Mus musculus: one gene and its partner. The protein of the gene in region 1 purifies or fractionates together with the protein of each later gene. This does not show direct contact. Links are inferred from orthologs where the notes say so. Each region holds a gene or a part of one and is shown in the gene's direction. Other genes may lie near its edges.

Region 1 (4,256 bases):
TCTTTCACAGTGATCTACAGAGCATTTTTGCCACCCATAGATCTCTTCATGTAGAGAGGATTTGTGTCACTTCTACAGTGTCTATTATAATGCCAACATATGCTTGATATGCACTTTAAAAGTAGTGTGTGCATGTGTGGTAGGCAGAAGTCAGTCTTAGGAGCCCCAGGAGCCATTCACTGTTAGGTTCCAGGCTGATACAAGAGGCTTTCAGAAAGGGGAAAGGGGATACCAACTCTATGCCTTTGACCAGGGTCAGACATAGCAAAGTCTGGAACCAGGCCCCCCAGAGTTAAGATTTCAGTCTGTGAGAACGTGACTTTTCCTCCTAAAGAGACTGGAGTAGTCAGTCCCAGGCCAGTGTGTGCTTGGTCTGTGGCACACATGAAGTATTCTGTGTTCCTTTTGTGCAACACTGCTTGGTTAGCTTTCTGATGACTTCGTCCCACTGTATGATAGGTTTTTCTGTTCCATTTTCCCCATACAAACAGTATATAAGATGCTGTACATCTTAATAAATTAGCTTAGCATAAGACATAGTTTTAGGGAAAACCTCCTGACCCCAACTTTCCTGTCTTCTTTATTTCTGATCCGTTCGGTCCCTCCTCTCAGGAGCCTCTCAGTGAAGAATGGCTCACTGGTCCAGATGCATCTACACTCTTTTGTTTTTGAGATGTTTTTCACTCATACTTGGAACTCACTGATTGCTATGCTGGCTGGCAGGGATTGGTATCTTTTCAGTGCTGCATTCCAAGCATGTATCACACCATGTATAGCTTTTTTTTTTTTTTTGTCGGTACTGGGTATCACACTTCATGCTTACATGGCAAGAACTTTAGCCCAGTAGACTGGGGTCTCTCCCTCCCCAGCCGCAGTGATAGTTGCTAGAGCCACTGAAAGAGCCCTTATCAGTTAGGTTGTCACGGATCCTTGCTGAGCACTAAGTGAATATTTCCCACTTGCAAATAAGCATTTGCTGGCCATCCACTAAACGCCAGTCACTTATCTGTCACCAGGATATAAATGTTGTTAGCATAACCACTCTATTAGGGAAGTCATTACTGTTTGTGAGTTGTGACGGTGTATGCCGGGAGGGGGGTGGGAAGGAGAGCGACAGAATGGTTGCTACTGGGTAGGCAGTTAGATGTGAGATGATTATGGAAAAGTGTGTCTGTAGCTTAGCAATGAGAAGGTTACAACTCTACAACAGCATCCTACAAGGGACGGACTCGGCGGCTCCCAACACTGGGTAGCAACGGGACGCCGCGCGCTTGACGTCGTCAGAGCAGCATGGGTTCGGTCTCCGAGCTCGCGCCTGCGCACACTGCTTCTCGCGCTGCTGCTGGGAACTACCGCCTTCCCGCCAGTCGTCACTTCCGGCTGACGCGACGCGTCGGGCGACGTCACGTCCTGCCGCTACCGGTAGGGACCGTGAGTGGCGGCAGGCCGGCTCTCCGGCGCTCCCCTCCCCTCCTCCCTCCCTCCCTGTCCCTCCCTTGGCGGCCGCGAGTCGCGGGGACTCTGGAGCCGGCCTCCTTCGGCGTGAGTGCGGGGGCCTCAAGCAGCCTGAGGCGCCGCGGCAGAGAAGGAGGACGACCGCGACCCTCGGTCCCCGCTCCGCGTCACCGCGCTCGCCGCCGCCATGGCCATGAGGCAGACGCCGCTCACTTGCTCGGGCCACACGCGGCCCGTGGTGGATTTGGCCTTCAGCGGCATCACGCCTTACGGCTACTTTCTGATCAGCGCTTGCAAAGGTGAGCTGAGCCCGCGACGGCCGCGGCTCCCGAGTGCCGACGGGTGGGTGGGTCGTGGCTGCCAGCGACAGCCATCGCGCTGCTGGGACTAGAGGGTCGCCCCTGGCCGGGCTTTATGCGTCCCTCCTCCCCACCGTTGTTAGTGCTCCCCAACACCTCGCCTTTCTACCCACACAACTACATTGTGTTTGCCAAGGATTTACGGGAAGAAGAAATTAGGCCAGGCCGAGAGGAGTGCCCTTTATGTCCTCTCACTCATTGTTTCATCCTTTGTGGTGTGAGCCTCATTTTTTTTTTTCCCCGACGAAAGTGTACGTTAGGTTTATGTGGTCCAAAGTAAAAAGCGGCTATCTAGATCGTTTTGACACCGCATGTCACTGGCATCCAGCCCACGGTTTTTCAGAAGTTTTTATTTATGTGTGCCTGTGTTGTCTCTATGCATGCTTGTACCTGTGTGAAGGGGTGCCCCAAGAGGAAGGCATCAGATTGTCCAGAGCCGGAGTTAGAGGCTGTTGTCAGCCTCCGTGTGGGCGCTGGGAATCGGAATCAGGTCTTGTGGAAGAGCGTTTCCCAGGTCTTTATAGTTGCTTTGTAATCCGAGTTTGCAAAGGTGATGAGGGAGGCCTCTCATTCGGTCCCAAAATTGCTTATGCTTCCCAGGAAGAGTGGCTACAACTCCTTAGTCCCTAGGTCACTGAGACCATATGCACAGACCAGGATGGGGACACCCTCCCCCACGCCCCCACGGCTTAATGGGAGTAGGGGGGAGCAGTCAGAACAACGGTTTTCCAGTAGTTTGCTGCTCAGGATTTGGTATTACGTTGCATGCTTCTAAATCACAGATGTCTGAAAATATTTTCTAGATGGCAAGCCCATGCTCCGCCAGGGAGATACAGGAGACTGGATTGGAACATTTTTGGGTCATAAAGGTGCTGTTTGGGGTGCAACATTGAATAAGGATGCCACCAAAGCTGCGACAGCAGCTGCAGACTTCACAGCGTAAGTGTAACAAAAATGGCTAACTTCATTCTGTTTGAATTTTGTGGTGACATGGCCAGATTCTCCAACTTCACAGTTAGACATGAGGTTCTGACTCCGAGGATGCTATAGACAGTACATGGTGTTTGATCTCACCACGATTCTGTCCTGGCTCTCTGAGCATCCTTGTGACTTGAGATGTTTCAAGGACTGATGTCTCTCTCATCGAGACCAGGAACGTGGTGAGCTATACAGCTTGGACAATGGGTGCTGCTGATGTCCTTCACAGATAGTCTTGAACACTTAGTGAGTGCTATACAGTGATGTCTCCAGGCACCTTTTCACTCAGCTTTATTACTGGCTCTAGATAATCTAAAACCGGACCTCAAATTTACTTTCTGTTTTCTATGGTTTTAAAGATGGCTGTCTGAAAGATTCTTAATTTTCATTAGATCCTCATTTTCTTAGTTGGGTTTTATTATTGTGAAGGTACAACATGACCAAGGTAAAGGTAACTCTTAGAGATTTAGCTGGGGCTGGCTTCCAGTTTCAGAGTTCAGGTCATTATCATCATAGTGGGAAGCATGGCAGCATGCAGGCAGAATTGGTGCTGGAAGAGCCAAAATGATCAGAAGGCAGCCAAGAGACTGTCTTTAGCAGGCAGGAGGGTGGTCTGGATCACACTGGCCAGGCTTGAGTTTTGGAACACACACACACACACACACACACACACACACACACACACACACATACAGAGTCTTCAGTCACTGTAGTAATGGATACATCGTCTCATCTCAGTTCACTTTGTCTTTTGATACAGTCTGAGATGGACTAAACCATTGCCATAATACACTTTCCCTGTTTTTACTTTGGGTTTTGCATCTATTATCAAACTGACATGATTCTCTTTAATCATTGAGGCATGTGTCATATTTTATATACTTTTTGATGTATAGTTACTAACCTGTGTGTGCTTTTAAATCAATGCAGGTAACTTTAATTTACTCTTGTGTGTGTGTGGGTTTGTGTGGAGGAAGTCAAGACAATTTTGGGGGTATGGGTTGAGGGCTCTGGTTCAGGTTGTCAGCTTGTGTGCCTACAAAAGCATCTTGATGGCCCAAAGGCAGTGTTAAGAGCTGCTGTATATGCTAGTAGACCAGAGCCTAGAGAGTGAAAATGGCCTTATTGATTCCTTGTTTAAAAGAATTTCACACTTTGGAGCAGTTGTCAATGTGTTGCCATCTTTTTTTTTTTGTTTTTTGTTTTTTGTTTTTTGTTTTTTTTTTTTGAGACAGGGTTTCTCTGTATAGCCTTGGCTGTCCTGGAACTCACTTTGTAGACCAGGCTGGCCTCGAACTCAGAAATCTGCCTGCCTCTGCCTCCCGAGTGTTGGGATTAAAGGCGTGCGCCACCACGCCCGGCTTGTGTTGCCATCTTTGATTTAAGCAAATTAAAAATAAATGGTTGTTGGATGTGGCAGCACATGCCTCTTTAATCCCTTTAAGCATTTGGGAGGTGGAGGCA
Region 2 (3,103 bases), on another chromosome or scaffold:
GTTCTTATAATATTTCTGTGGGTTTTTTTGGTTTTTTCGAGATAGGGTTTCTCTATGTAGCCTGGCTGTCCTGGAACTCACTCTGTAGACCAGGCTGGCCTCAGAAATCTGCCTGCCTCTGCCTCCCGAGTGCTGGGATTAAAGGCGTGCGCCACCACTGCGCAGCTGTTTCCTGTTTTTTTTGTTTGTTTGTTTTGTTTTGTTTTTTTTAAGCAACCCAAATTACAGAACTCTTACTATAGACATTTTCTTGTATTGATAATGGCCTAGCTCATTGTTAGACTGTGATCCAGCAGCTGGAAGTCTGGGTCCTGCTTTGCAGTAGTCCAACCTGTTATCTATACCTAGTTTAACAGCCTAGCATGTGGCTGACCTCTTCGCTTTGCCTGTGCTCCTGTGTGAAACACAGCCCCACCTCACTAAACCTTCAGGTGGATGGTGCAGGAAACCACCACAGGCAGATGGGATTCTGAGACATGACCCTCCTTGCCAAGTCACTGGGGCAAGTGGCTCATTAGTAGATCCCTGTCTGAAAGATAAGACTGTCACCTGCTCCCTTGTGCTATTGGTTGGGTGAAAATCACCTTTATAGACCACGTATTGAATCTGCAAGTTTGAAGTATTCGTGGCACATCAGAATCTGGGGAGGTGTGGTAGTGCTTTCTTTGAACAGTTGGGGAGGTACTGATGGCCTCTAACAGTTCGTTGGAGCGTGCTATAGTGTGATGAGCAGGGCAGGGTCTGAGTTGGTGCTTTGAGACTGACAGGGAAGTAGAAGGTACAGAGACAAGGAAGGTGAGCTCACTCCTCAGAAGGTAAATGTTACATGGCTAAGGTGGGGAGCACGAGGCAGCTGAGAAGGCTGGAAATGTAGTGTACCCTGGGAATCTAGGTGTGGCAGGTGTTCCAACTTCTGGGTTTGTTTTGTTTCGTCTCACCACGTAGTGGCTGACCTGAAGCTCACTGTGGGCCAGGCTGCCTCTGCTCCAAAGTATGAGATTAAAGGGGTACAATCCCAAACCTAGCTTCTTTCAGCTTTTCTATGAGTTCACACTTTGGACTTTATGCTCAAAGTACAAATTGGTAGTGGACTAGCCTAAATAAAACCTCAAGCCTCAGGTAAGATGGACAGCTTGGGAGTCAAGAAGGTTCTTGTTGGGGTGTCCTCAGCTCTAGCACTTTGTAAAAGTCTTGTGGATAACATGGCTATCCTACAACCAGTGGACATGGAAGTGATTGGCAGGAGATTATGCCCCATGGCAGTTAGTAGGGGTGCTTGTTTTTTTGTCAGCTGCATAGGCCCCTTTAAGATTTTCCCCTTTGTACTGTTTCCACTGACCTTGTGTTCCTTTGCCCGTAGGAGGTGGCCTTGGTGGTACCAGAAGAGGTGGGGCAGATGTGAATATCAGGCATTCGGGCCGAGATGACACTTCCCGATATGATGAGAGGTAAGATTGGGCATCTGGTTTCTTGGGATAGGGCAGTCACAAGGGGTGCCCTGCCACACAGTGCTAACCTCATATAGGCCGGGCCCCTCCCCGCTTCCACACAGAGACCGGGACCGGGACCGCGAGCGGGAGCGCAGAGAAAGAAGCCGAGAACGAGACAAGGAGAGAGAAAGGAGACGCTCCCGCTCTCGGGACCGGAGGAGGCGCTCCCGGAGTCGAGACAAGGATGAGCGGCGACGGTCCAGGGAGCGTAGCAAGGACAAGGACCGAGACCGAAAGCGACGAAGCAGTCGGAGCCGGGAGCGAGCACGCAGGGAACGGGAGCGAAAAGAGGAGCTTCGAGGTGGAGGAGGTGGTGGCGGTGGTGGCAGTGGTGGTGGTGGCGGCGGCGACATGGCTGAACCCTCTGAAGCTGGTGATGGAGCTCCTGATGATGGGCCTCCTGGAGAGCTTGGCCCTGAAGGCCCTGATGGCCCAGAGGAGAAGGGCCGGGATCGAGACCGGGAGAGGCGACGTAGTCACCGGAGTGAGAGGGAACGTCGTCGGGACCGAGACCGTGATCGGGATCGAGAGCACAAGCGTGGGGAGCGGGGCAGTGAGCGGGGCAGGGATGAGGCCCGGGGTGGGGGTGGCAGCGGTCAGGACAATGGGCTGGAAGGGCTAGGTAGTGATGGTCGAGACATGTACATGGAGGCAGAGGGTGGTGATGGGTACATGGCCCCAGAGAATGGATATCTGATGGAGGCAGCGCCCGAATGAAGAGGCCTGTAGTGGACATGCTCCTAATCTTGCTGTCTGCCTTCCTAGCCTTTTCCACCTTGGCTTGCCTCTGAGGGTAGATTTTTTTTTTTAATCCGGTCCCTTGGATTTAAAAATAAAATTAATTTTCTGTTGATAGTGGGCATGTGATGTCTTACTGCACTTGCTGTCTTTCCAAAAGGCCACTTCCTACTGCTCAACTCCCTTTGGTATACTGCACGTGTTATAACCTGAAGTAGAGGCTGTTCTCCCAGGCACTGTAGCTGCTTTACAAGTGAGAGGGAAGCCCTGGCTCTCATAACAGGCTGCATCTTTAAGTGAGAGAACAGCAGGCAAAGAGGCAGGATGCCAGCCATCAGCAGTTGGTACCCACACATTTCTGGATGGAAGGCAGCTGGGAGAGCTTTGAGTATGGTGGGCCCTGAGGAAGCTGGGGCCAGCCTGGCACAGTCCTGAAGAAAGGCTGAAGGTAGTCCCATTGAGGGCTGAATGATAGTACTCCAATCTGCTGCTTAAGGCTTATAAGTCTTTACATATAACCAAGGACAGATACCACCAGAGAGCTGAGAAGCATCTACATCATGAGAGCACAGATAGCTGGTCCTGAAAGGGAACTTCACTCATTCCTGTGTTTGCCACATTTGCAGGTAGGCTTATGGTTTTACTAAGAGCATCTTGCTGTAGAAATCTTGGGGCAATGAAAACTTGTGACAGGCATTAGAGACAGGAATTGATGTTTAACATTGCCTTCATGTGCCACATTTGACATCTGTCTCAAACTGCTAGTGTCATTTGGATAGATTTTAAGAGGTAGGACTGGGAGGAAATAGCTCATTAGGGGATGGTTATGGGGTGGGGTTGTGCTGTTTCTTCTCATCCTGTGATGAGAAGCAATG

The links.
Region 2: the proteins of Strap (region 1) and Snrnp70 purify together in Homo sapiens (affinity purification with mass spectrometry; 3 studies listed by BioGRID and IntAct, with this or other methods). This does not show direct contact. The link is inferred for Mus musculus from reciprocal best matches to the Homo sapiens genes STRAP and SNRNP70.

What each region holds. Positions count from the first base shown.
Region 1 is NC_000072.6:137,733,713-137,737,968, forward strand, and holds the start of Strap (serine-threonine kinase receptor-associated protein), read left to right. Parts: upstream 1-1,369; 5' UTR 1,370-1,642; coding exon 1,643-1,754; intron 1,755-2,617; coding exon 2,618-2,753; intron 2,754-4,256. UniProt on the Homo sapiens protein: The SMN complex catalyzes the assembly of small nuclear ribonucleoproteins (snRNPs), the building blocks of the spliceosome, and thereby plays an important role in the splicing of cellular pre-mRNAs.
Region 2 is NC_000073.6:45,375,701-45,378,803, reverse strand, and holds the end of Snrnp70 (U1 small nuclear ribonucleoprotein 70 kDa), read left to right. Parts: intron 1-1,360; coding exon 1,361-1,448; intron 1,449-1,525; coding exon 1,526-2,207; 3' UTR 2,208-2,350; downstream 2,351-3,103. UniProt on the Homo sapiens protein: Component of the spliceosomal U1 snRNP, which is essential for recognition of the pre-mRNA 5' splice-site and the subsequent assembly of the spliceosome. SNRNP70 binds to the loop I region of U1-snRNA.